Lytechinus pictus: one gene and its partners. The main gene of each other region encodes a partner of the protein of the gene in region 3 in a complex. Links are inferred from orthologs where the notes say so. Each region holds a gene or a part of one and is shown on either strand. Other genes may lie near its edges.

Region 1 (7,401 bases), on a different chromosome or scaffold from region 3:
CACAGTCACAACTGAAGAAAAGGCAACGATGGCTTGGTCTATGAGGAAAAAGGATCCAGCTCTACTGGATATTCAGCATTTAAGGAATCCCTTTTCATTCCATCTTTTACTCTCCCAGAGCAACAATTTTCTTTACAAGTGATTTCAAGATAAGAGATTGATTGCAAGTCAGTCAAATCTACTGTGATATTTGCACAAGACCTTGTAAACTTGTCAACTGTGCTAAAAGGAAGGAAAGATATGGCGGTGTTGGGGAAGTGTGACATGGCAACACGAGCGGAACTTTTCTGTTCATAAGCATTCATTCTTCAAAGGAGTCCATTTTGATGTCAAGGAAATATTCATCTTTCTGAGGGAATGGAAGCTTGGAACCTCCTTCACAGATGTGCAGTAGAGTCGGGAATGGACTACAACAAATCGGCGGTGGATTGGGCAAACTTCCTCCGTGACCAATGCCGGAAATTTGTGAGGGACAGAAGTACTCCGAGGAGAGGTGGAGATTGACGAGAGCCATTTTGGATGGCATACCAAGTATCACCGCTGCGATCCGAGAGGATTGAAAATATGGATCTTCGGGATGGTGGAGCGGGGGAGTAACCGGATCATCGTATTTCCCGCACTCAAGCATCGTCACCGTCGCCAAACCCAACTACCACCAAGCGCCTGGCATCATCTCAGTTATCACCTTCCTGCTACTACTCACAGAGAAATAGACAGAAAGCGAAGAAAAGCAAGAAGACAAAGACAACTTCCAAGGAATCATTTGGAAGTTACGGCACCCTGGAGCATTCATTCCTGTGGGAAAGAAAGGCAAAGAGAAGAAAAAGAAATCAGAAAATCCATACAGGATGTCCAACTTTGTTACCTTGGAATGGTCGGATGACAGTGATTTCCAATAACCATGTTCTCTTGCTACACTTTGTTTCGATATTGGACTTAACAACTAAGCAATTATTTTGGGGTCTAGAGCGCGATTTAAAGCCCCGAAATTGATCAGGGTGCACAACTCTACGCGTCCGATATTTTGAAACTAATTTCCATTTACCATAATTTTTTTTTATTCTAAAACAATTTAATACAGTCCGACCTCTCTTATCCGGACACGTTGGGACCAGCACCAATCCAGATAAGGGATTTATCCAGATCTGGGAGACCCAATAAATATTAAATACACGCAGCTGCTACCTCCCCAACATTAATGGCTGTAGCTACATGTTATCTATTGTAGTGGGCATACAGACAGTATTCACTGCAGTGTCAGTGCAAATTATAGGCGGTATTTTTACGGAAATGAAATCGATCGATGGCCAAAATTGTTCGATAGTTTACCTGCTAAAATGAGTGAGGTATACATCGAGCATACCTCGAAATAAAGAAAATGACTCAATGAAAGTTTTACAATTAGATCATCGCGGCTATCGCAGCTTCGCAATGTCAGCCATTGTTATGACTGTAGGCTCAAACATGATAGATGGCGCTGTCCGTATCAAGGCCTAGTGTTAGCTAGCGAGACATGCGTTGTTTTTCCCGGGAAAAACAAAAAAAGAGAACGTGATAAAATTATCCTGCCCAAGTTCTTTCTGTGATTTTCATGAAAAATAGTGACTTAATGTTGTTGTACCGGTATGTAGGTAGACTATATTGGAAAATATATGTAATCCAAGTGAGTCTGTGTATAGGCCTACTATACTTTATAGGATTGAGTTTAGATTGAAATCTCATTTCCTAAGCTAACGTACTAGATTGAATTGAAAAAAAAAATCTTGGCAAGTGTGCGTCCAAAAATAGATCTGGATAAGGGGAGGCCGGATAATACGCCCTCTACGGAAATAAACAGTAGAGGCGCACAGCCAATATGGGAGACTCTCTCCAATAGGGGAGACAATCTCCCACATTGCCATTGGAGACTTGCTTTGCAAAAGGACAAAAGAAACAACACCAACAAAAGCATGATTTTTTCCACCCAAAATTTTGTCTCACTGAGGTCAGAAGCCCAATTGTTTTGTGTGTGATTGACAACAAAAATCCTTATCAAGACAAAAGTAGACGGTGAATTTTTTAAGTAGACGGTGAAAAGGGGTAATTTCTCATGAGGAATCTGCTTATCACATTTTTATTTGCCGCCAAGGTAATCCTTTTGCAGCAAATGTAAACAAAGGAAATTGGTCTCCAAAACTGGAGACTGTCTCTAAAATTGGATACCAAAATTCTTTACAAAAGTCTCTGATATTGGAGATACTCTCCCACATTGGAGATAGTCTCCAATATTGCTTGGGCTTGGCTGTGCACCTCTACTGATAAACGTCATCAATGATTGCCTTTTTGTTTTGGTCCAATTATGCTTAAGAAGTGTCCAACATTTTTGGGCACTATACTATATTCAATAATCAATATTTAAATGTAGACGTAGTTTACGATAGACCCCTCTAGTCGTCTAGAGACTAGACTATAGTCTATAGTTTCTTTTTCTGTCTCTTTTTTATAGGATTTACCGACAAGATAAACGTCAATCATGCATACTTTCTGCAATGAAGCGATGACTTGCCGTCGACCGTCTAGGCCTACTTAATTAATCCAGGGCCAAACGCAGTTCGGTATACGAGATTAGTAGAGCATACATACTAGCCTCGTAGTCGTACTAGTGCGAGTGGGCAATAGGCCATAGGGCCTAACTTACGTAACGTTGTCGTTAGAATCTAACGTCGTTAGTTACTAAGTTAGGCCACTGGCCGCAATTCGCAAGTAACAACAGTCAACACACATAAAAATGAGTAGGTGGGGCAACGCAATGACTGTCGGGTAGGCCTACCCAAAACTTAATAGATATCAAGAAATTCATGTAAATCAAATGTTCCACATTGATGAAACGAACCTTCCAAATATCTGCCATTGTGGTATCACCTGGCTCAACAAAAGAACCGGAAATACGGTCTGGAGGACGAACAGCTGATTCTTTTTTTCGCACATTTTTCTTTCCCGCCGCGAGTGTTGCCATTTTACTAGAAATTCGTCCAACTCGTTTGAACTGAACGTACCGGTACCACGCGTCGTGCGCTCGCCACGCTCCGGCCGTGCATGCTGAATTAAAAAGGGATCGGAAGCTTCTATTTAACTCTATGATCTGGGGAGCGTTTCATCAATATTTTCATCCGACAAGTTGTCAGGTCTGACAACTTTCCTTCATAATGATAGGATGAGAGGCACTGTTACCATAGTAACTGTCGGATAAAAGGATGGGGGGGTGGGGTGTCCGGACACTTAATATTTTTGAAGCCTTCTTTTTTGTCTTTGGATTACACTAAAAATACGAATTCAATAGTTGTAATCATCTTCTGTTTTGTTCTCTATAATATTACCTAACATTTCGTACTAAACATTTTATGAAACTTTGCTTGTAAATTTTTCCAAATGACTTTCTAAAACTGATCGTCCGGACACACAACCTGTCCGGACACACAACAACTGGGTATACTTGTCGGATAAGACAAGTCCTTTCATGAAACGCTCCACGGAAGTTACCTCAGCGTTCGTTGTAAAATAATTTTAAAAAGATCTAACGTTAGGTGGAGGTTTTGTGGGAAATCCATCAAAAATTATAAAAGTTATTAAGTTTAATGTTCAGTTTAACTTTTTATTTGTGAAGTCTTATAAACCATCACTACCTTCTCTGAGAAGTATAGTATTATTACATAAAAATAACTGTACATAATATAAAGTACGAATTGACCACTTCAATTTATTTTGCACTGGAGCCGTGACATATCATTATTTTTTGAAAATAGGTCTACCGTCTAGTCTAGAGTCTAGACGGTAGACCTATTTCAAAAAAAAAAAAAACGGTAGTCATGTGCGAACAGCTTTTGTCTAGACTCTAGACAAAAGCTGTTCGCACATAACTACCGTTTTTTTTTTGTTTTTACTCACCTTACAATAGAAGGCGTATACGGGGGACGGCTGGCAAAAAGGGAAAAGGAGAAAAGGGGAGAAAGAATTAAAGAGAAACGTAGCGGGGGAAGAAGAAATTAATTTGTAGATCATAGGCGGATCCAGGGGGGGCCGAGGGGCCCGCCCCCCCCCCCCCTATTGGCGCGGAGCAAAAAAAAGGGAAAGAACGAAAAAAGGGAGAAAAGGGGGGAAAAGAGAGGAGAAAAAAGAAGAGGAGGAAGATGAGTGAATAAAATATGATGAGGAGAAGACTTGGAAAATAAAAAGAATCTTTCATATGTCACTGTATAAAATTTTCGCTCGCACTTCGCGCTCGCAAGTTTGGAAGTGAATATACAAAACATACTTCACCTCGGAAATCGAACTTTCATTATTTTGTGTGATTTACAAATTGTTTCTAAAAAGTGCTTTATAAAAATGTCAGTTTTATAGTCTGAATATTAACATTTTCTGATCGTGCTGCGCGCTCGCAAATTTTGATTTAGCAGGTACCTATTATTTTCGTGTATTCCATAAAGTTGTCAAAATATCACTTTTCAGGTGTATTGTCAAAACATATCAGCTAGATTTTGATTGGCGAGTTATATATTTCTCAATATTGATTATACAACAAACAACTTAAAATCCCCTTTTCATGACAGTTCATCAAAAATTTTGGTTCGCGATTTGCGCTCGCATTAATGGTTAAAATATATTAACTTGATGCATCCTATATTTATAATTACAAAAGTTCTTGAAATGTCCAGTTTTCAGGCCATAATATCATCAGATTTCGCGCCCTCATTAGGCATTAATGAATGAGATATTCATTTAATAATTAAATTGTCCCCTTTGTTTCATCTCGCACTTAACAAGAGGAATAGGAAGATAGTCATCATTTTCATTTGCATATCCTAAGGATGTCCCGGTCCTATGTTAAAACTCAAAGTAATAATTATTAAAAATATCAGCTCTTTATTAAGTGCGATCCATATCCACCTCACAATTTTCCTACAAAGTGCTTTAAATATAGAGCTGAAATTGACTCTTTTTTTCAGATCGGAATATCAAATAGTTTAAACTCGCGCTTCGCGCTCGCTTTGATTTTCATAATAAAAAATGTATTTAGAATGCCTAGATTCTAGGTCTAAATATGAAACATGCGCGCGCATGTTTATTCAGATAGTCAACTTGTTCTCTATTTAAAGGAAAAGTCCACCCCAACAAAAAGTGGATTGGAATAAAAAGAGAAAAATCCAACAAACATAACATTGAAAATTTCGTCAAAATCGGAGGTAAAATAAGAAAGTTATGGCCTTTTAAAGTTTCGCTTAATAAGTTTCACAAAACAGTTATATGCAATCCTGGTTGGTATGCAAATGAGGGGACTGATGACGTCGCCACTCACTATTTCTTTTGTATTCTACTATATGAAATATTTTGATTTTCTCCCCCTTGTCATGTGAAATCGAGTTTTATTCCTTCCTGAACATGTTGAATTAACATTGTTTAACATTATGTGGTTCAGTCAAGTTCTACATTATTGTCAATTCTGTAAAATTTCAAATATTGTATAATTCAAGCAATAAATAGCAAAAGAAATAGTGAGTGATGGACATCATATACTCTCTCATTTGCATATCACTGAGTTGTGCATATAACTGTTTTGAGAAAAATACGCGAAACTTTCAATGTCACAACTTTCTTATTTTACATCCGATTTTGATGAAATCAGCATTATGCTTGTTAGATTTTTCTCTATTGATTCGAATCAAAATTTTTCTGGGGTGGACTTGACCTTTAAATCATTATCCAGTTTCAGATCACAATATAAAAAACTTTCTGCTCACGCTTTGTGCTCGCATTATTATAATGTAGGAAGGCCCCCTATTACTCATTCTTTTCATGATTTACAAAACATGAATAGAGTGTCCCGTTTTTAGGTCTAAATCTCGATTTTGTCCGCTCGCGCTTCGCGCTCGCATCAATTGTTTCGTTATATACCTATCTTGTTCACGATTACAAAAATTGATTAAAATTTTACATTCTTTACGTAGAAATGTCAAAATTTTTCAGCTCGCGCTTCGCGCTCGCATTATTTGAATGTTGAAATATGTAATGTCTTCATGACTAAGTGCAAGCAGTCCTTAACAGGTACATTTTCGATCAGTTCAAAACGTATATAAAAATGTTCTGCTGGCGCTTTGCGCTCGCATTATTAATGTAAGGAAGATCCCCACTTACTCATCCTTTTCACGATTTACAACACCTGAATAGAGTGTCTCGTTCAGTAGGTCTAAATCTCGAATTTTTCAGCTTGCCATTCGCGCTCGTATCAATTGTTTAGTTATATACCTATTCTATTTTAACAAAAAGTGCTTAGAATTTCCATTCCTTAGGTAAAACTGTCAAAAAATTTCAGCTCGCGCTTCACGCTCGCATTATTTGATTTTTAAAATATGTAATGTCTTCATGGCTAACTGCAAGCAGTCTTTAACAGTACTTTTTCCATCAGTTCGTTTTTGCTTGCGCTTCACGTTCGTAGTAATTATTAATTTGCATACACATCTTTTTCATGATAACATACATTGCCCAGAATCAAATATGTTCAAAATTTTAGAAAAAATACATAAGATTTCCAAAAAAATTTAGCTCGCGCTTTGCGCTCGCATTATGTGAATAAGGATTATGGTATTATATATTTATGTTTATTCATAAGAATAAAGCTAAGAAGTGACTATTAGGACTACCCCTTCAAAGAAACCAAAAATCCCGGCAAAAATCATCTTCGAGCGGCCGATCGGGGAAAATATGGCTGAAAAAAAAATTCCGGGCCCCCCTATTGGCGAAGGCTGGATCCGCCCCTGTATATTGGATCATTATGTTATTGTATTATAGAGCCCAGCTACGCCTATAATAACGTCACAAAACATAATTTGTTCTCGCATTGCTCGCATTGTCTGTTTATTGATCCTTTTGTTAAAACATCACGTTTCAAGTCAAATAGGCCTATTAAGTTATTTTTTTTTATGTAGTGACATATATACTTCTTTCTCATGCCTCGCCCCCTTTTGAGGTCTGAATATAAAACATTTCTAGTCGTGCTTATGCATGTTTGCATTAGTGCATGGATTGGCGAGATATGCTCTTCATGAATTCTTAAAAAACAGTTCTTTAAATTCCCCCCTTTCTGGCCTGAATGTCCAAAATGTTAAGCTTGCGCTTCACGTTCGCATTATTAAAATGAAATATGTATGGTCTTAGTGAATTCTTACAAACAATCCTCTTTACTACTTTAGGTCTAAATTAAAAAAAAAATCAGGCTGCGCTTCGCGCTCACATTATGATTAGTGAGATACGTATATCATGCCTTCACATTGACTACAAAAAGAGCTTCACTAATGATGTGTTAAGGTGTAATTCTAACTAAATCAGCAAGTGCTTGGCGTTTGCATTCGATGAATATGGTGAGATATA
Region 2 (7,682 bases), on a different chromosome or scaffold from region 3:
AATTTCAATAACTCAAAGCTATCGTACTTATGTCACAAAGCACTATCGAGGAATAATGATCACGCCAATATCATTTGGAACAAAACTTAATTTGAACAGTTCTTTGCATTATCACAACATTGATAGTTGATTTTCCATGGATTTAGACTGTGGCAAAGCATGTCTATCGTTCCCAATATATAAATGTGTTGAGAATGATAAATATTAATGAAATTCATTTGTCGTATTGGCAAAGGAAAGTTTTCGCCAATTAATAAGTAAGCTTTAGCTTTGCTTTCTGATTCATCTCAATACGAATTGACTTGGCATTATCTGGTTTATGATTAAATAAAAATGTATTTAGGTTAGAATTTAAATCAATTTGCAAAGCATGTCAATACAGTCTTAGTTTTGACCAATCTTCAATGCAAAAATAGGATCATATTTGTGATCGAAGAAATGTTCCTCGATAAGCTCTTGCTAGTGAATAGAGTTAAAATATAATTTGTTTGTGGCCAGACTACAATGCATCAACTAGTTTTGTGATCAATCGAGATGGTATCTCAATGAGATCTTGCATGGGAACTCCATGACAAACTTTGGTTGCAATCAATTTACAATATATTCCAATCAAGTCTTTTGAGCGAAATTATACTGCATCACAACAAGATATTGGTTGTCAACAATGTAAAGTGTATTTGAGTAAGATTGTTGGTTGTGAGCATTACTGCACAACAAGGTTCTGGTTGTGAACAGTCTAATCATAAGATCTTGGTAATGGATACTTTAAACTACATCTTGATCATGTCTTGGCTGTGATTAGTATACTGCTATTAAAAATATACTGCATGATGCTCGCAGCGAGAATCTCGTTGCGAACAACATGCAGCACACTTTCAATAAGTCAGTTTTGATCGATCATCCTGCATTTTCAAGAAAATGTTATTATTAATCTATAGTAATTTTACAAAAAAGATCTTAGATATGAGCAAAGCATATTTCATCACAACAGGAAGTTGGTTGTGATCGATCTACAATGATCTGTCTCATGACATCATAGATTTATATCAGACCACATCGCCTACAGAGATACTGCATATGGCCAATTATTAGTTCTACTATTTTATGTGGGTTGTAGTTTGGAGGATTCATTTGGCCCCGTATGGGTTTAATATGTCTCAATCTTGGCTTAGGCGATAAGCCACACCGCCCATATAGATACCACATGGAGCCTATATGGTTTTATTTCATGGATTCTAGGTAGAACCCAGCTGGGGCCAATATGGGTGTGATATGTTTCTATCTGGGCTCAGGCGATGAGACACATCGCCCATATAGATACCACATGGGGCCCATATGGTTTTATAATGTGGGTTCGTGGGAGGACCCATATGGGCCCCATATGGGTTTGATATGTCTCTATCTGGGCTCAGGCGATAAACATCATCGCCCCTATAGATGGCGCATGGGGCCCATATGGTTTACTTATTTTTTGGTTTCAGGTAGGACCAATATATTGGGCCCATATGGGTTTGATACGTTTCTTTCTGGGCTCAAGCGATCCCATATACATACAAAGTGGGGCCCATATGGTTTTACTTCGTAGGTTCTAGGTGGGAAGACCCATATAGGCCCCATATGGCTTAGATATGTCTCTATCTGGGATCAGGCGATTTCCATATGGAAACAACATGGGGCCCATATGGTTTTATTATATGGATTCGTGGGAGGACCCATATGGGCCCCAAATGGGTTTTATATTTTTCTATCTGGGCTCAGTCGACCCAGGAATATGCCACTTCGCCCATATAGATACCACATGGGGCCCATATGGTTTTATTATGTGGGTTCTAGGTGGGAAAACCCATATGGGCCCCATATCGGTTTTATATGTTTCTATCTGGGCTCAGTCGATCCATAATTATGCCACTTCGCCCATATAAATACCACATGGGGCCCATATGGTTTTATTATGTGGGTTCTAGGTGGGAAAACCCATATGGGCCCCATATCGGTTTTATATGTTTCTATCTGGGCTCAGTCGATCCATAATTATGCCACTTCGCCCATATAGATACCACATGGGGCCCATATGGTTTTATTATGTGGGTTCTAGGTGGGAAAACCCATATAGGCCCCATATGGGTTTTATATGTTTCTATCTGGGCTCAGTCGATCCATAATTATGCCACTTCGCCCATGTAGATACCACATGGGGCCCATATGGTTTTATTATGTGGGTTCTAGGTGGGAAAACCCATATGGGCCCCATATGGGTTTTATATGTTCCTATATGGGCTCAGGCGATCTATAATTATGCCACTTCGCCCATATAGATACCACATGGGGCCCATATGGTTTTATTATGTGGGTTCTAGGTGGGAAAACCCATATAGGCCCCATATGGGTTTTATATGTTTTTATCTGGGCTCAGTCGATCCATAATTATGCCACTTCGCCCATATAGATACCACATGGGGCCCATATGGTTTTATTATGTGGGTTCTAGGTGGGAAAACCCATATGGGCCCCATATGGGTTTTATATGTTCCTATATGGGCTCAGGCGATCCATAATTATGCCACTTCGCCCATATAGATACCACATGGGGCCCATATGGTTTTATTATTTGGGTTTTAGGTGGGAAAACCCATATAGGCCCCATATGGGTTTTATATGTTTCTATCTGGGCTCAGCTAGTCGATCCATAATTATGCCACTTCGCCCATATAGATACCACATGGGGCCCATATGGTTTTATTATGTGGGTTCTAGGTGGGAAAACCCATATAGGCCCCATTTGGGTTTTATATGTTTCTATCTGGGCTCAGTCGATCCATAATAATGCCACTTCGCCCATATAGATACCACATGGGGCCCATATGGTTTTATTATGTGGGTTCTATGTGGGAAAACACATATGGGCCCCATATGGGTTTTATATGTTCCTATATGGGCTCAGCTAGCGATCCATAATTATGCCACTTCGCCCATATAGATACCACATGGGGCCCATATGGTTTTATTATGTGGGTTCTAGGTGGGAAAACCCATATAGGCCCCATATGGGTTTTATATGTTTCTATATGGGCCCGGTCGACCCTGAAATAAGACCACATCGCCCATATATATAGATACCACATGGGGCCCATATGGTTTTTATTATCTGGGTTCTAGGTGGGACAAACCATATGGGCCACATATGGGTTTTACATGGTACATATGGGCCCCAGTAGGCCCACATGATTCCCATATGGGCCCCAGATACTAGTTGCTATCTGGGATATGTCAATGTTTGTAAACTTCATAGAATGATTGCTTAAAAGAAGAAAGCCCTTGAAACAATAATACTAAAAAACAAATGGCCGAAGCTGCAGGGTAGATTTCTGAATTGTTATGTTCAGTGGCGTACCGTGGGTCACGGCATGGGGGGCACCAGCACTGAAATTATGTCTCACTTAGTGCATGGGCGCGCGTAGCGCGCTCAATTGCCAGGTAGGCCTATACTGACCTGAAAGAGAAATTTTAAAGATTGTGCCATTAAACGGATATGTATCACACTGATCGATTAATGCGAGCGCGAAGCACGAGCTGAAATTTTTATATTCAGACCTAAAGAGGAGACATTATAAGCTATTTTTTTACCATCATGATACATACCTGTGTCACTGAACAAACAATGCGAGCGCACAGCGTGAGCTGATTTTTTGTGTGCATATATTGACCCCAAACAGGGATAGGACGTTTTTTTTAGAAATTCATGAACAGCATACGTATCTCACCACAGCCATCTAATGCGAGCGCCAAGCGCTTGCATATTTTGTTAGAATTACATTTAAAAACATGAAACACTTTTTGTAGTCATTGTATAATCATGAACATGATAAGTATATCATTAATCAAATATTGCGAGCCCGAAGCGCGAGCTGAAAATTTTGTTAAATTCAAACCTGAAGAGGGGCATTCTAATGCTTGCTCGCAGGCATTCACTCAGACCATAAGTATTTCAATATACAATGATGTGAGCGCGAAGCGCGATCAAATTTTCGATATTCAGACTAGAAAAACTGACATTTTTGGAATTGTTTTTTAGAATTCATGAAGAGCTAATATATCTCACCAATCCACTAACGCGAACGTAAGTATGAATTGGAAATGTTTTATATTCAGACCTTAAAAGGGGGTAATCACTTTAGGTAATCATGAAAAAGAAGCATATCATGCCACTACCTAGCTAAAACAATGATAACTGCATGGAACTATATGCCTATTTGGTGTATATTGACTTGAAAGGGGGATGTCTTAGTACACCAAGAATTAAACAGACAATGCAAGCACCAGGAATGATGAACACATAGGCCCTGAGCAAATTATGTTTCATAAAGTTATGAAAATTATTTTATTTATGTAATACCCGGTATAATATAATGTAACATACCGATACTATAATATAATATACAATAATTTTTCATCCCCCACTACGTTTTTCTTTCTTTCTCCCTCTTTTTCTCCTTTTCCACGTTTTTTTTGGCCAGCCGATTGGGGGGGGGGGGGGCACGTGCCCCTCATGCCCCCCCCCGTAGTTACGCCACTGGTTATGTTACTCTCAAAGACTGCAAAAATCTGCAAAAACTCAAGGCCCTATAATATTACATGTATATAAAAGGCCTTGCAAAATAGTGTCCCTGTATAGGGACACTATTGCAAAAGTTGTGCCAGCGCCATCTATCGAAAATTTCGAATAAACTTTGTATTCACAATATCATTCAAGATGTCGTTCAACTTTGGCGGTACGAACACATTTGGCGGGCAAAATAAACCATCTTTCGGTGGATTTGGTTCTACCTCAACTGGGACATCAGGTGAGATATTTTGTATATCATGACTCCATGTAAAATATATCAATAAGACGTCTAACTGTTAGGCCTACCAAGTTTTTTACTGTCATAGACTGCAAGAATTTGACCGGACACAGTCACCCGACCAAAAATGAGGCCCAACATGCCCGACGCCGTAGGGGCAGCTTCTGTGTCGATCCCGCTGTGCATGACGTTGCGTTGGCGGCGCTAACAACAGTAGGATGGGGGAACGGGTGTCCGGACAGTTTATATTTTTTCGGCCTTCTTTTTTGTCTTTGGATTGCACTAAAAATATGAATTCGATAGTTGTAATCATCTTCTATTTTGTTCTCTATAATATTTCCTAACATTTTGTAATAACATTTGATGAAACTTCACTTGTAAATTTTTCCAAATGATTTTCTAAATTGATCGTCCGGACACACAACCTGTCCGGACACACAACAACTGGGTTTACTAACATAACAGTAACAGTTCTGGATCTGGATGGTTGATGTATGATGGTGGGCCCCAAGTCTGCGCACCTAACAATTTGAGTTAAGATTTAACATGAATTTCTTCTTATTTCACAAAATCTTTCGGTTAATAGTGTTCCTTATATTATTAAGAGTAAGTGTACCAAATTTCTCATTAAAAATGAAAGAAAATATAAGATTTTCTTGAAAAAACCTCGGGCAGTCATTTTCAGATTGAAAAAAAAATGGTACCCCATGTCTGCACACTCATTCACTTTGCACACGATTCGGGGATTTTGATGACAAAGGCTGCATTTTGAGGCCGTCACATGAAATGCCCTGAATTAATTATTTTTCCACCATGTTGAGTCAGATTTTTTTATGAATACCTGTCTATGTATTGCATGTGTAAAGTTCGTGCTCGTTGCATATCTTCTTTTACTAGAATCGCGCAGATACGCGGGTGCGCAGACTTGGGAGACCGCGCAGACATGGGGGAACTGACCATATATTAAACGCCTGGTGTGTGTGGCTCACTCACACGTATTGCGAGGTTAGTAATAGTATTAGTATACTAACCTCGCACCATGAACCGCGTTTGGCAGTGGATTTCTAACTAGTCATGCTAGTAGGGACAGTGATTTTCCGTTTCTAAAAATGCCTTTTCCGTTTCAGAAAATCACAAATTCCGTTTCAGCATGTCTGAAAACGGAAATTCCGTTTCCCCATAGACTTTGTGTACATGAAAAAGTGACAATTCCGTTTACATTGAAAACCAATACGCAATGAGTAGCGCGATGTCAAAATGCTAGCGCTGGTCAAAATTTGCATCTACCAATGTACTAACATCGCTTTAAAATCCATTTTAATCGAAGAGATTCGAGCTCAAAAACTATTTAGAGAAACACAATCAACATTAATACATCCTCACCTTTCATATTATTAGCATTATTTTATGGTTTCATGGGATTTTATCGCTGATTTGGGGACTTTTCGGACATCGTATTGAGCAGTCGACGACTTCCGCCTATCCGCCATTTTGGATTTGTTGAATCACCGTGATCATTGTATCATGACCGAACGCAGAGGGCAGCAACACACGGCCGAATTCTGCCTTATATGCGGACGTCAGTGTAAACTAATTTGGATACGATCGAGTGATGGAGGGGCTCGAGTGCAGTATTGTTACGATTTGTTGATTGTCATGATTGTTGTTGCAAAGTGAGATCGTGTTTTTTTCAGTTGATATTCGTATTTTGTTGAGGATTTGGGATTCATTTCTGTTGATATTTTGTGCATTTTGAGAAAAAACAAGTTTTCTGTGATTTTCCGTTTGAAAAGCCGCTTTCCGTTTCAAAAGGCCGATTCCGTGAATTCCGTTCGTTTTCCGCGATCGCGGAAAATCACTGTCCCTAGTACTGTAGTACTACTACATGTACTAGTATACCCAGTTGTTGTGTGTCCGGACAGGTTGTGTGTCCGGACGATCAATTTTAGAAAGTCATTTGGAAAAATTTACAAGCGAAGTTTCGTAATTTTTTAGTACAAAATTTTAGGAAATATTATAAAGAACAAAATAGAAGTATTGAATTCATATTTTTAGTGTAATACAAAGACAAAAAAGAAGGCTTCAAAAATATAAAGTGTCCGGACACCCGACCCCCCATCCTACTGTAGTAGTGGGTCGCGCGGGCGCTAATGCAGTTTCGCACCGGTCGATTACCACTACCACCATACCTCACCACCAGTAACTGTTCACAAATGTCCTAGCAAGTCTCTCAGTCACATTTCGAGGTCCAAATATCGCGATCAGGAACGGCTGCATTTTGGCTTCGCTCTTGACATCGTCGTGCGAATCCTCAGTCATGGCTCATGCATCGCTTCGCTTGGTTTCGCCGTGCTCCACACGCAGGGTTGTAATAAAAAACGTTTTTTATTCAAAAAAACGAAAAAAACGTTTTTTATTGTTTTAAAACGTTTTAAATCGTTTTAAAACGTTTTTTTTTTCCAACGAACGATGAAATTTTCTGTAAATCAATTAAACTATACACCTAATACAGTACAGTTTAAGCTCTTGATGTTTTAAATACATTTTTGGAGTAAGTAAGATATAACTACAATTTTTTTTACTGAATTTCCAATAGAAAAGTTCATATTTTCCCCCAAATTACTCTAAATCATTGATATTGAATGCAAAAAAGTAAGTTGACATTTTATAAGTTCATTCCTCATACATATACATACATACTTTTGAGTCTTGTCAATCTATAGGGGTGAGAAGAATTTGCACAATGTATTAATGAAATAATCTATAGACTATGGGCTTTCAAAGCTTAATTTCATTTAATCAATATGCTTCATTTCATTTTAATTAATTATAGTATTATAC
Region 3 (7,303 bases):
AGTAATACATTCAAGCCTGTAGGCTAAGTTGCATTCAGTTTACAAGGGAACAAAATACAATGTATAAATTGATCAAGATATAACATTTCTAAATGTCCAATCAGCCAACATATTCAGGATAATGTTAGCATAGATTACAGCATTGCATAATAATAAATCATGATAAAGAGAGAACGAGAAAGTGAATATGAAAAAGAAAAAAAATGTTTCTTGTACTAGTACAAAAGCTGTGTCCTTTTTTATTTTCAAACTGCAGGTCAAGCTACTAGCAAGTCTCCTAAGCGTCCTAGGAAAGCTGCAGAGTATGCAGCAACTTACCAGCATGTTCTGCCTTCAGCCCGTGTCCTTGCACGTGAGAAACACATGCAAGCAATACAGCAAGAACGTAATGCTGCACTGGCTATTCTTGATGCATCTGGTGAAGACAAAGTGACTATACACTATGATACTACAACACGGCGTAGGATTTCTGGAGAGTGGACATCCATAATTGTCCGACTAGCAAGTGGGAAACTCTTCAGAATGCGACCTTTGTCTATGGCTCTTGAAAATCGAGAAAATATCACAAGGTTAATGGTTGAAGTTATCAAGCGTCTCTCTCTTGCTACGTGCAACCAAGCCTCACAAGAGGATCTGTGGAAGAAGGTTTTTGCATTTATGACTGACTCAGTTGCCAAAAACCTACACATTGAGTCTCAAATAGCAGCATCTCTTAACAGTCAGCACATACCTCTACACTTGTTGTGTGTGAGCCACACATGTGAGGTATTTGATGCAGGCAATATCTCTACCCTTGTTCAGCATGAAGTCAAGTTAGGGCTTCGTGAAAAGCTAATTGCACACATGCCGACCCTGAAATCCTTCCTCAAGAAGAGTGTAATCATAGCAGCAATACAGGCACTGACAAAACTAGTAAGTAATGATGGACACAAGTCGTCCATGTGGGAGATCTTCGAGTGTGAGGTTGCATCTGCAGGCAAAACAAAGAAGCACAGCCTCTTTAAAGAACGCCGATTTGCTCAGATGGGATACACTGCTGCGGCCATTCTATATCACATCCCAGAGTATGAGGCAACATTGCAGAACACCAAATCCAACAACCTACTTGTTCAAGCCTGCCATCTGTACCTTGAGTGTGACTTCATCATGCTAGCATTGAAGGTATTGGCCTGGTTCACATACTGCATAACCCTCCCATTCCTTAATATGGTAGAAGTCAGCTCTCAGAATGATCTAGTGACCATCCTCCCACGTCTTCATGATGATCTGCTGAATAACAAGACAGATACGCTGTCTTCATACAAGGTACCATACTCTTTCCAAGTGGAAAAACCAGAGACAACTGTAGGCATGTATCTTCTGCAGCAAATGTGTCAGCAAGCTGCCAAAGATTTAGCCACTCAGAGAGGACGTGAGTATGGATTTCAGCAAACAGCAGAAACGGGTTTGGCAGAACCTAGAGCAACTGAACTCCACAAACTCACACCAGAAGATCTCACCAATCTACCTACAAACAATTTGCAGTGTGAGCGGGATCTGTCAAAGTTTGACAAACTCGCAAAACGGTCTGCAGCTGCTTCCAATAGAAACTTCACCGGCAAGGGTATTCGAGATGATATGACTTTGAACAAGGCTGGTGTAGTAACTGTGGAAAAAGTGACCCATAACATTGCAAAAGTGTTGGATAAGAGTGAACAGAAATGGGTGGAAGAGCAACATCCTCTCTCAGGAAAAGCTTCAGCGAAATGTGGCCCAAGCACAACAAGCAGTAGAGTATGTGCATAGGCTGTTACAGAAATGTAAAACATGGGGAGGTCCTTTAACAAATGTTGATGAGCTTCAGGAATGCCTGGATACCCAAGATCCCACCAAGCTTAAAACTATGTTACGTGCAGAGCTGTCATATCGCAGACACATCTCCCATCGAGATTACTTGGTGCGCCCACACTTGTATAAGGTCAACCAACTATGTGAAACACAAATGAAGGTGAACTTGACTCTTCTATTGACTGGAGGAGAGTCTGATAATCTCCCTGCCCCTGATCTTCCAACTGAAGATGACATGGTGAATGCATTCAATCTAAAGCCATCCAGTGGGATCACACAGCCAACTGCCCATTCCAACCTTGAAGAAAATACCGATAAAGAAGTGGGCATCAATGAGTTCTGTATTGTGATATGGGATTACAAAGATAAACGAAACTGGTACCTTGGTATGTGTCGAGACCAAAATAAAGACGGATATGAAATCGAGCACATGGAAAGAGTGAAAGGAAAAGATCAGCATGAGCAATGGAGATGGCCAAAGAAAGATGATGTACATACAGTACTGCCGATGCAGATCCTTCCATGTAATGTAATTGGCTCATGGGATACAACTTCCAGCAGAAACATGACATTTGTGCTTGACAATTGGCATATTGTAGAAGGCTTATTCAAGTCATTTTACAATTAAATATGTACACCCACAGTGGACCTGTATGTACTCTCTGACTAGAGGTCTAATGACCAAAATCTTATTAATTGGTACTTTTAAGCAGATACAGTATTACTATTGGCTCCACAGTTACCATGCCTGTCGACTCGAAATTCACCAGCCACATACAGGTTTTCTGCTTGACACATACATGTATGTAAGTTATTTGTATACTTCTTGCTGTATTGTTTAAAATACAAAAAAAAAAACACCTTTAATAGCTAGAATTCATTATTAAGAATATCATAGCTAGCATGACTTGAAGAAAATACAGAAAAAAGTACAATTGCTGTTGGGGTAGGGGTGAAGGAGAATGAAAATTTAACATTAAATATGGGGAAAAGGTGAGTATAATGTAGAAGATTAGGTTTAACACCAAAAATATCATTATATTCAATTTCTTTGACCCCTAAAACATGGGGTTAGACACCAAAATTATTACAATAGACAAAAAAATGACCGAGTAACAGCCAAAATTGTCTCTTTTTAGCCAAAACGGCGGCCATCTTGGATTTTTTACGTTTTCGGTCAGGGCACCCCGGATTTCACATTTTTTTAATTTTTTTTTTCAAAAATGGTGTCAGCAGGCACAAACTCATCAAACTAGGGTGTGATGAGCATGTTCTGAAAATGTGACCTAATATTGACCCTCTATAGCCCACCTCTAATAGCATTAGTGATCTCGACATTCAAATGCTCATAACTCTTTTATTGCTAGTCCTATTTTACTCAAAGTTTTGTTGATCTTATTCTTTGATTTTTCTGCTTTCACAAAAGCTAACTTGCTCCAAGAGTTTCATTCTCCTTTAACCGATCATGCTCATCCCTGCAAAATCTTGTGAATTGTGAGACTTTCTTTCTCCAGGAATTTCAAGGCCAAATAATTATTATAATCACGTATTAAATTTTAGTATTAGTGGATCTATAATAAATTGTTCTTCAAAACGGCATTTTGTAACATCGCTAATCAAAGGTACGTCATACATGTCATAACGATGCGGTTCGATCAAGTGACAATTAAGGGTCAGACCTATTGTATTTGCTTTGTTGACAAACGGATCGAGGGATCTACACGAGATCGGTCTGACGTCTGGTAAGAAATCTTCAATTTTTAACCTTTTTATTAACCAATTTTTGAAACCTTCATACGCATTAGGCGTATGAAGGTGTAAAACTAAAATTTGCCAATAAGGCAATAATTTAAAATTTTAAAGAAAATCACGGCAGCCAAAATCACAAAGTGACAAACATTTATTTAGCCTAGGCCTACGTGATTTTTATCTTAGATGGATTTCCTAGGCCTTAGGGAAATCCATCATTGTTTTGATGAGTCTCTTATACATATATGGCAGGCGGTTCATCAAGGCTCCATGATGAAGTATATGTCAAAATATTAATAAATATCATCATGGAGATCAAGGCTAGTCCACGCCGCGCCTCCTGTATAGGCTGTACACCCAACAGCAGGAACTATGAATGGGACCTACATGTCGGTTTACGCAGCGTGGCCGCTTGCGACTGTCACTGACAGTGACACTGCACTGGGCAAGCCAACCAATGTTAGCTTTTGTTACGTACCTAAAATTGACTCCGAAAATATATCTCGCATGAAACTTCTACCATTGTAGACCTGTTTAATAGGCTTCCTTGTAGACGGTTTCTCAACATTTTCTGGAGAGCTCTCTTTTGTGGAACTGACTTTTTGTTTGGCTGATTCTGAACTTTCGTTGCTCCGGATTGACGCCATTTTGAACAGCTCCCTCTTCGCTCGCGAGCTGAGCGAGCGCGAGGCGCGGGTATTATGTGTGTATAACAGCGCAATACAGCATACCAGATTCAGACGGAAATGAGGCTAGATTAAACTGGATATTTTGACTTCAAGTTCTGTTCTGGTAAGGTTATTTCTGTATATTATGTATTAAAGCGAGATAACGCAGGCGTAACGTTTGGTACCGTACCGGTATATAAATTTCAGAATATAAACTTCCAATCAAATTAATATGAGTTTGTTGTCGCCTGTCGTCGAGTTTTTTTAATGTTGCCGAGTTCATGATCCATGTGATGAGGCCGATGTGCTAAGCGTAGGACTAGGTATGATGGTGGGCCCTTAGTCTGCGCACCTAACAATTTGAGTTAAGATTTAACATGAATTTCTTCTTATTTCACAAAATCTTTTGGATAATAATGTTCCTTATATTATTGAGAGTAAGTATACCAAATTTCTCATTAAAAAATAAAAGAAAATATAGGATTTTCTTGAAAAAACCTTGGGCAGTCATTTTCAGATTGAAAAAAAAAATGGTACCGGTACCCCATGTCTGCGCACTCATTCACTTTGCACACGATTCAGAGATTTTGATGAGAAAGGCTGTATTTTGAGGCCGTCACATGAAATGCCCTGAATTCATTATTTTTTCACCATTTTGAGTCGGATTTTTTTATGAATACCTGTCTATGTATTGCATGTGTAAAGTTCGTGCTCGTTGCGTATCTTCTTTTACTAGAATCGCGCAGATACGCGGGTGCGCAGACTTGGGAGACCGCACAGACATGGGGGAACTGACCATACATGTAGATATGTAGGCCTACATAGTACAGGTCTAACACAGTTGAGTTAGGTCGACTGTGAGTGTGAATGTGATGAGAAGTGATTGTGATTGACGACTTAGCTGAGCTGAGCTACATGTAGCAGACTGCAGAGATCTGTTATTATACTACTAGGGTGAGTGACTGGGCTGTTTAACTTAAGTTAGATCTTATTCTTGGTTTAGATTCTGACTTCAATTCAAATCCAGTAATGCAGTACCGTAAGTAACGGTGTATTAACCGCACCTTTTTCTCGGCGGGACAGAATCAAAAGTCGGGGGTGCGGTTTATACACGGTGACAGGTCTGAGCCAAGCCAATCTCAGCCCGATACCACTACCAGTTTTCAACTCGCGTCGGGTGGCCGAGCGTAGCCGCTTGGGGCAATCCCGTTTAGAGGGGTATGAGCCGCGGGTATAAAAGGGAAGCAACTATGACTACCGGTATCTGCCGTAAATGTCCCTCAAAGTTATATCACGGTAACAAACGCACCTACCTTCATGAAACTGACTTTTTTTAATGGTGTGACTCTGTCTTTGTTGTCATTTTTTAGTCATCGCGGCAAAGTTCAGACGCCAATCGATCGCACAGCGCGGTGCAGCTAGCCGAATAAGACATGCATGTGTAATGTTTATCGCAACGTCAACGTAAGCTGGCGCTTTACCTTTCCGTGGAAGTTATTTTGTTTGACAAATTATTGGTATTATTTGACAATTAATTTCTTTCATTTGCCTTTCCTTCATTTCTCTCTATCATCCATCATCTCAAAATCAATCTTCAATCCCCATCTTTACTCCTTCCGACTTTTTATTTTTAATTATCATTCACTTTATTCCTGCCCAGAGCTCCCATTGAAAATACGGTATACCGGTAGCCTACTAGCATTTTTTCCCCCTATTTTGCTGTCTGTAAGATACCGCCACACACGTACTGAGAACTACCGGTAGTGGTTCAAAGCAGACAAGAAAAACACCTGAACAAAATCGCAAATTTCATGTATCTTGAACCTTCCCGTATTCCCTTGTCTAAAATTCATGTCAAGACATTGAATGCTAGACAGAATTCTGAAAGCAAAAGTGGGGCTGTGATGCAGGAAATATGATATGAACGATCTTCTCGTATGGGTCCTACATGTCGGTTTACGCAGCGTGGCCGCTTGCGACTGTCACTGACAGTGACACTGGGCAAGCCAACCAATGTTAGCTTTTGTTACATACCTAAAATTGACTCCGAAAATATATCTTGCATGAAACTTCTACCATTGTAGACCTGTTTAATAGGCTTCCTTGTAGACGGTTTCTCAACATTTTCTGGAGAGCTCTCTTTTGTGGAACTGACTTTTTGTTTGGCTGATTCTGAACTTTCGTTGCTCCGGATTGACGCCATTTTGAACAGCTCCCTCTTCGCTCGCGAGCTGAGCGAGGCGCGGGTATTATGTGTGTATAACAGCGCAATACAGCATACCAGATTCAGACGGAAATGAGGCTAGATTAAACTGGATATTTTGACTTCAAGTTCTGTTCTGGTAAGGTTATTTCTGTATATTATGTATTAAAGCGAGATAACGCAGGCGTAACGTTTGGTACCGTACCGGTATATAAATTTCAGAATATAAACTTCCAATCAAATTAATATGAGTTTGTTGTCGCCTGTCGTCGAGTTTTTTTAATGTTGCCGAGTTCATGATCCATGTGATGAGGCCGATGTGCTAAGAATTCTGAAAGCAAAAGTGGGGCTGTGATGCAGGAAATATGATATGAACGAGCGGCGGCGGCGGCGTCAACATAAAATCTTAACCTAAGGTTAAGTTTTTGAAATGACATCATAACTTAGAAAGTATATGGACCTAGTTCATGAAACTTGGACATAAGGTTAATCAAGTATTAATGAACATCCTGCCCGAGTTTCAGGTCACATGACCAAGGTCATTTAGGGTCAATGAACTTAGACCATGTTGGGAAAATTATTTTCAAAATCTTAACCGAAGGTTAAGTTTTTGAAATGACATAACTTAGAAAGTATATGGACCTAGTTCATGAAACTTGGGCATAAGGATAATCAAGTATTAGTGAAAATCCTGGTCGAGTTTCAGGTCACGTGACCAAGGTCAAAGGTCATTTAGGGTCAATGAACTTTGGTCAAGTTGGGGGTATTTGTTGAATTACCATCATAACTTTGAAAATTTATGGATTTAGTTCATGAAACTTAGACATTAGGTTAATCAAGTACCACTGAATATCCT
Region 4 (7,234 bases), on a different chromosome or scaffold from region 3:
TCACTAAATATTTATGACACCTCCGAACCTGTCTTAACTTCTTTCTTAATGACGTAGTGGCATCACGTGGGTAGACTATGACATGCGAAAGTGCCTAGAAATTTTAAAATTATAATCTTACATAATCAATCATAGAGGTTGAAATTACATCACAAAACAAGTGGGTTAATGCATTCAATGATAATTGTAAAACAAAGAAACTATAAAAACTGTTGGTAAACGCCACAAAACCATTAATTTTGAAATAGCAAAATGATTTAATCGATAAAGATTTTACCACGTCAGGCCATCCATAACTGAACTCGTATTTGTTGTTTTCAGACCCCTCTTAACAGTTGGATGAATTCTATCTCTAATTTATGCATATAATTTGTCCAATATCGTATCTTTCGGTATCAATGATTAAAAATGATTCGTTAAACTATATTTTGATGACGTTTGGAATCGTTAAAGTCCGTATAATTATCATCATTTTACAAAGAAAACCGTTATGGTTTACTTTCGTAAACAATTAAAATTGGGTCTCCCGGGGGTACCCATCTCAACGTCCACAAGTGATTTTTTAGTCATGAAATGAATTATTCATAATCTAATTTTCTCTGCAATTGAATGCTCCAGTCTTCATGGTCTAAGTATGTATGATGCATAATTCACCTGTGCTATTATTTTGAAAAGATTTATTTCCCAATTCATCATAATATTTGCAATTTTGTAATAATTTTCTATTTGAAAATTATGCTATTTTGTGACTAAGGCTACGTCTCGTCTGCTCTTTTTACCGATATTATCGATATCAAGGTATTCTAGTTAGGAAGCCTTTCGAGAAACAGGTTTAGTAAGATTGGTACTAACTCCGTGGTTGGTGGATAAAGATATGACTAACTTGTCCATGTGTTGAGAAACGGGCCCCTGGTTTCCAAATCTTTATAAAAATCATACCATCAGAAAGAGCATAAAAAATCCTATTCGACTCTTTATGGACAAGTTTTTGGCATTAATAATAAATTTATAACAGCTCTCGGAAGCTAAAAATTTGGATTTGTGTGTGTCCATTTCTTAACTACACAGTCTATGGCAGAGAAATGCTGAAAATTGACCTAATTTCATTCTTCTTTTTTGCAGCCAATAATCGGATTTTTTTCAAAAATGTTACATTTCTGTCAGTCTGAAGGTCATTTCTCTTCAAATTCACAAAGAAAATGTGATATTTTCTTGAAATAAGAAAAATAATATTTTTCTCCAGACACCCTAATAGAAGATGATTACAACTATCGAATTCATATTTTTAGTGCAATCCAAAGACAAAAAAGAAGGCCTCAAAATATAAAGTGTCCGGACACCCGACCCCCCATCCTACCACTCTAGGCGACACCCCAATACTTACCCGTGCTAATAAACTGGGACTCCACTCACGCGCGTTTGGGCCTCCCTAGCTTAGAACTAAGCACTAATATCACCTTAAAAACTAAATCTACAAGGTATGTATAATCTATTTACAACTTTAATAATGTTTAATCGGTACTCACCGGTTCTTTTGTTGCATTTTCAGACCATTTCTCACAATTCTTCGTAAATATTTGCGGCAAATTTTGTCGCCATAGACAGCTTAGCATCCATCTTTATTGATAAATGGAGCGCCCTTTACGATAGTTGTTAATGCCGCGGAGAAATCGTTAGGCATTTTGGCCTGTGTTCAAGGCGTTCTTTCTGTTTTATTTTTTATATTGAAGATTGTGCATTTGTTGAATAGCGCCGTCTACGTCAGGTATGAGATCGAGTGTACAAATACACTCTTCCAAAATAATTATGATTCCGACCTGGCGCTGTTTAACTTCAATCTCTTTCACCTAAATTAGGGATGAATGCTAGCATTATAAAATATATATTATTAACGTCTGACGAAAAGAATAACCAACCGATCAGCTGACGAGAACGCGAATCACGTGATCTTCATATCAGCTTCGATCGCGAGTCAGAAGAGAAGAGCAGCTGCCCAGAAAATCAGGAAAAAGCCGTGAAAATGTAAGTTCCCCTTCATTTCTTTCATTTTTTGTTGTTGCTAACGATGCATTTACACTATAAAATTATAATTTAAATAAGAGAAAGGAATATAGCTTGTACTTGTGATATAATGTATAAATATCCTGTTCTCAGAGATTTCTAACCAAAAATACTACTGATGTCGCCTATGAGGTCCATACATGTAATGTTGGACCTCATTGGTACTAGGAGTGCATCCTACAGGGGACTCAATGGCCATATGTGGCATATGTTTATGTGTATTAAGTTTGGATAAAACAGGGCAGTGAAGTTGCGCGACAGCCGAGGTAAGTCACTGTTTTTGTTCCTTTTAACTTGATTTTCCTCGTTTTTTTGGCAATCGATGCCAAGAGGGAATATTAATTTGCATTTCGGTCGCGTTAATTTTCAAAAGTTTGATTCATTAAACTTTTTAAGACAAAAAATAAAGAGCCCCGACGGGGGGATTTTGCATTGTAAGTCCCGGCCCTAATCTGCTAATGGTGGCTGCACGATAGCGAGCAGTCTGTGTATGAGGAGAAATTAAAAAAATAAAAAATGTTAAAAAACTCCTCGAAACAGACGGCTGCCAGCTGTCTAGGTCTGAACATGCTGAAGCAGTGAAGGGAAGCTCCACCGCGCCGCTCCCGCTGGTTGGCATATCAGATCAGTTTCAGAGCCAGAGTTCGACTTCGAGACAGGTCCTACTCAGACAGTCCCACATGTTAATTTATTTGTAACGGTTATGAAGATAAAACCCAACAAACAAATTCCATCACGGATTTTGACTGAAAATCTCGAAATAAAACATTTTCAGTTGACCTAAGATATAAAGCGAACAAACAAATAATTACTGATTACCACAAAAATAGATAACGTACCATAATAACGTTAAAAATACGTACCAAAAATGGAATTTCCCGCTCGTACGCCGCCATTTTGTTCCTTTAAAATCGCTGAACGCGAACGTCGATCGCCGGCTATCGATTACTAGTCTGCAGGCACAGACCCTGATTGAAATTTTGATCAACAAGTATGTCTCCACGCAAAGACTAGCACATACAAAACTTGCTGTTTCAGTAAACGAGGCATAAATAGGCTGCAATTCAGACCCTTAACTCTAGTGAAGGGTTTGCACAGCAGACTAATCGATTACTGGATGGCGCTGGTCGGCGCGGGGTGGCCGAAGGTTCGGGGGGGGGGGGGTTCTTCTTTTTCTTTTTATTTGGCAACCATGAATTTGACTATTTTCGCCATCATAAATATTGCATTATTCACGTTGTTTTCTTTGAAAAAAAAAATTATATAAAGTAAAATTCAAATATTTTTTTTTTCTTTCTTTTTCTCTTCTTTTTCTTTTCTATTTATTTTTTTTAATTATTTTTTTATTTTTAGGGTATCGAGGATATAAAGTCGAGTAGGTGTGTCTCAAAAAATTAAAACCAGGGCTTTTACTCAAAATATGTTAGATGTATAGGCCTACTAGTATGCAAGTGAACCTAGGATGGAGATGACAGAGAAAGGAAATGAGGAAAATCACATATCCAATCCTACACCCGTACCGGAGTATGGGGATACGTCTGTCCCGTTGATGTGAACATCAACGTCTGTGAAGTCTCGATCTTTCCCGGAGACAAGACGCCTTTAAATCCTACCTACTTTGGGAGACGAGCCCTTGTAGGATGGAAAGTGATTTTGGGTGAGTTTGGGGGGGGGGGGGGAATTGAATACATGTATTTATATATATTATATATATATATATACACACATATATATACTATATATCAATCCATATATACATTAACTGAATGCATTCGTGTTGAGGGTTCGATTAGCCTCTTGTCGAGGCCCTGGCGGCTGCTTCCCGAGCGAAGCGAGGGATATCCTAATTCGCTCGGGAAGCAGCCGCCAGGGCCTCGACAAGAGGCTAGGGTTCGATCCGTTCGACCCCGGGAATGTCGAGCCTCGATCGAGAGATTGATTTTTTTTCTTCAATTAAACCACCTCAAGCACAGATGGTTGCTCGAACCCTGTGTCTCAGCAACTCGTCGTTTTGTCATAATAGCCACCTTTCGCAAACCTCAGGGACGGTAAGATTAGGGTCCCCTAATCGTACATTCGATTTTCACGAGTAATTGTACATTATAATCAATGGAATCAATCATATAAAACTGTTCTACATTCATTGCTAAGCTTTGTGATACAGGCCCTATATAGATCTGCTTTTCGTGTGCAAACTCTTTCACGCGACACCCGTTTTCATGCATGTGTACGTCTGGTCATCATCGTATATGCCCCCTGAGCCGGCGGCGAACCTCTACTAGCTATGACAGCTGGCTGGAGATATTCGAAATGCAGGGCCCGGGGCAGGGCCCACAATAGATTATGACTTGGATAAAAAAGTGTTTTTTCAAACAAATCGAGTACATATTGAGTGAGGAAAAACTTACTGAATTAAGGCTTAGATAATATAGATCATTACAGTCCATCGAATCGATATTGTATTTAATGTGGATTATTGGTGGATCACTGGCAATTGATTCCATGGGTCAGATGACCTCTCCAGCTGAAACCATTTCGCATGATTTGATATCTACATAGCATATATACCTCTGAATACCAGCCGAAATTGCGGGTTTTTTCTTTTGTTTACTCCCCTACACAAACAATATGCCTCTAGCACACAATGCAATGTAATTATGTTTTACTTTCCCCAGAAATGGGGGATTAGATTCAAATGGGGACCACTTCCATTGATGAATGGATACCAGGCACGACCATGCGGTTTCGAAAAGCAACCTAAACAAGGATCGAAGCAAGGTTTTTCCAGATTATGAAAATGCATCTCTTAAGTATTTGGCTTGTGAAACCCTACAAGTATTGGAAATATATCACTTTTTTAAACATTGACACCCTTATAACGTTACAAAGGCCTATATACTAGTACGTAACGTACTTGCCCACTCTGTCCCCTTTTACGCGTGGTTGCGCCTGGTATCCACTCGGCAATGGAAGTGGGCCCCCCAGGCGGCCTCTCGAGCTCTGGGAGGAGCCAAATGTGGCTCTGGAAAGTCGTCCTAAATCGGATATATCGCTGTTACCATAGAAGCAACCATAATTTTGCACACGAAACGCATATTGAATGTTTCCGTTGCAGATGCGAAACGTAAAAAAATCTCATGTCACACAATTTGCATTGCAGGACAGAGTTTTACGACCATGACGACGGGCCTAAAAGTCTCTTCCAAAATCAACTACCGTCATAAATAAGCGTTCGCGTTCTCCAACGAAAGGTCGGGATTATCTAAATTCTCCCCATTCTCATATCTAGTTCAACGGTATCATAGACAAATACAAATCAAATATACATCACATATAGGCCTGCATAAGCAAATACAAATACAAATCAAGTACAAATCAATTACAGAATAATTACAACACATTAATTTGTAGAATATAAACGTGGAAATGAGGGAATAAAGAAAACACTACTTAATTGTATAGATCACAAGGGCGGAAATCTCTCCTCAGGGGTGGGGGGTGGGGCACAACCGAGTTTTCCATTGTTCTTACATTCACACACACACACACACACACCCCTACACACACACACACACACACACACACATATATATATATATATATATATATACATGTTGTACATGTATAACTTTACATATATATATATATATATATATATATATATAGTATAGTAATAGGGTGGAGCGAGTTGCTTAGATTTTAGTTGTACAGACTGTTTCCCCCCGAGGGTTCATCAGCTGGTGAACCCTCGGGGGGAAACAGTCTATACAACTAAAATCTAAGCAACTCGCTCCACCCTATTACTATACTACATGAAGCTTCTATATGTACATCACATGTGGTTGAGCACTTTTCAGTAACTGCAGTTTCGTATACAGTCATTATATATAATATATATATATATATATATATATATATATATATATATATATATAAAGCTTAAACCTATTTGCTCACACATTTTTGTTGGTTATCCTACTCTGAAATGACATTTGTGTCTTTGGAACCCCGGGCTTTGGAAGTACTAGATGATTGCGGCCTCCAAACCCAATTTATAAATAGACGCCTTATATCAGTACTCCATGCGACTGCAAAAGATAAGTCGAGAAACGCATAGCCAAAAACGGTCCTCACAAAAAGTGATAGCATAACGCGACTTACGACCCGTGCCTCTTATTGATAATGTCATGTAAAGCACTTTTTTTTTTGGGGGGTGGGCTTTATTTTGACACATCCCTGATGCTGATACACACCCATCATCATCGTCATCACCATCATCACCATCATCACCATCATCACCATCATCATCACCATCATCATCATCACCATCACCATCATCACCATCATCATCACCATCATTATCATCACCATCATCATAATCATGTTCATCGTCACCATCATCATCATCATTATCACCATTATCATCATCATCATCATCACCACCACCATTATCATCATTATCATCATCATCATCATCATCATCGTCATCATCATCATCATCTTTTCACCCTCCCTATTCTTCTTCTTCTTCCGTGAAAAAGCTAAGCAACGCTAACCGGATGTAATTACCATTATTATGTACCATTCAGTTAAGTGTTAACCGGCGTTAATATAGGTTTACAATCAACTGTTAGCGATTTCTATGTTTATGGTAGCAATTCAAGCAGTTATTAAACTCTTGCGGTGCGATTCATTATCTCCATTCATGTTCAGTTTCATATCGGCAACAGAAGAATGTACTAGCATGATAAGGACACTGTGCAGTCTGGTATGAAGTAATCTGTCTTTAAAAAACATTGTCTTGTATCGGAAGCTATTGGAAACCAAAAATCGATTTCCATTATCGTTATAACATGAATTGCAATTACTTAAAAATAACCTTAATGATAGTGTATATTTGTTAGAAGAGGAATTTGCACTAAAATTCATCATTAATCAAAAGTACTAAAGCCCACTATTGCATATTGAGACATTATATTTGAACAAACTGTTCAGTTTTCTTGTTCAAAGTTAAAATAGTAGATTTCCCTGCCACTTCTTTACACACATCATTACTTGTCCTGTTTATAATTATATGGGAAATTGCAGAGTAGCGGACATGACATTTTGTATTTCAAAGCATTACACTTCAGAAGTTTTCGCTCTTCTCGCTGGATTTATCAGACAAATTTTA

Evidence for each region.
Region 1: nuclear pore complex protein Nup98-Nup96-like (region 3) and nuclear pore complex protein Nup107-like share a complex: the UniProt entries of both Drosophila melanogaster proteins name them as parts of the nuclear pore complex. The link is inferred for Lytechinus pictus from reciprocal best matches to the Drosophila melanogaster genes Nup98-96 and Nup107.
Region 2: nuclear pore complex protein Nup98-Nup96-like (region 3) and nuclear pore complex protein Nup54-like share a complex: the UniProt entries of both Drosophila melanogaster proteins name them as parts of the nuclear pore complex. The link is inferred for Lytechinus pictus from reciprocal best matches to the Drosophila melanogaster genes Nup98-96 and Nup54.
Region 4: nuclear pore complex protein Nup98-Nup96-like (region 3) and nuclear pore complex protein Nup85-like share a complex: the UniProt entries of both Drosophila melanogaster proteins name them as parts of the nuclear pore complex. The link is inferred for Lytechinus pictus from reciprocal best matches to the Drosophila melanogaster genes Nup98-96 and Nup75.

The regions. Positions count from the first base shown.
Region 1 is NC_087256.1:7,089,882-7,097,282, reverse strand, and holds the start of nuclear pore complex protein Nup107-like, read right to left. Parts: upstream 3,016-7,401; 5' UTR 2,996-3,015; coding exon 2,873-2,995; intron 2,853-2,872; exon of another isoform or gene 2,840-2,852; coding exon of another isoform or gene 2,810-2,839; intron 2,660-2,809; exon of another isoform or gene 2,521-2,659; intron 1-2,520. UniProt on the Drosophila melanogaster protein: Plays a role in nuclear pore complex (NPC) assembly and maintenance. Required for nuclear import of Mad. Mediates the association between the nuclear pore complex and a subset of active chromatin regions adjacent to lamin-associated domains.
Region 2 is NW_026974140.1:2,133,011-2,140,692, reverse strand, and holds the start of nuclear pore complex protein Nup54-like, read left to right. Parts: upstream 1-4,682; 5' UTR 4,683-4,750; coding exon 4,751-4,841; intron 4,842-7,682. UniProt on the Drosophila melanogaster protein: Component of the nuclear pore complex (NPC), a complex required for the trafficking across the nuclear envelope. Essential for the nuclear import of nuclear localization signal (NLS)-containing proteins in an importin alpha/importin beta-dependent manner.
Region 3 is NC_087249.1:39,827,345-39,834,647, reverse strand, and holds the start of nuclear pore complex protein Nup98-Nup96-like, read left to right. Parts: upstream 1-4,283; 5' UTR 4,284-4,368; intron 4,369-4,530; exon of another isoform or gene 4,531-4,681; intron 4,682-6,497; exon of another isoform or gene 6,498-6,586; intron 6,587-7,303. UniProt on the Drosophila melanogaster protein: Part of the nuclear pore complex (NPC). Required for MAD import as part of the Nup107-160 complex and required for nuclear export of Moe probably via its association with Rae1. Plays a role in nuclear mRNA export.
Region 4 is NC_087254.1:31,799,135-31,806,368, forward strand, and holds the start of nuclear pore complex protein Nup85-like, read right to left. Parts: upstream 3,017-7,234; 5' UTR 2,958-3,016; coding exon 2,925-2,957; intron 1-2,924. UniProt on the Drosophila melanogaster protein: Component of the nuclear pore complex (NPC) that seems to be required for NPC assembly and maintenance. Required for nuclear import of phosphorylated Mad via importin msk.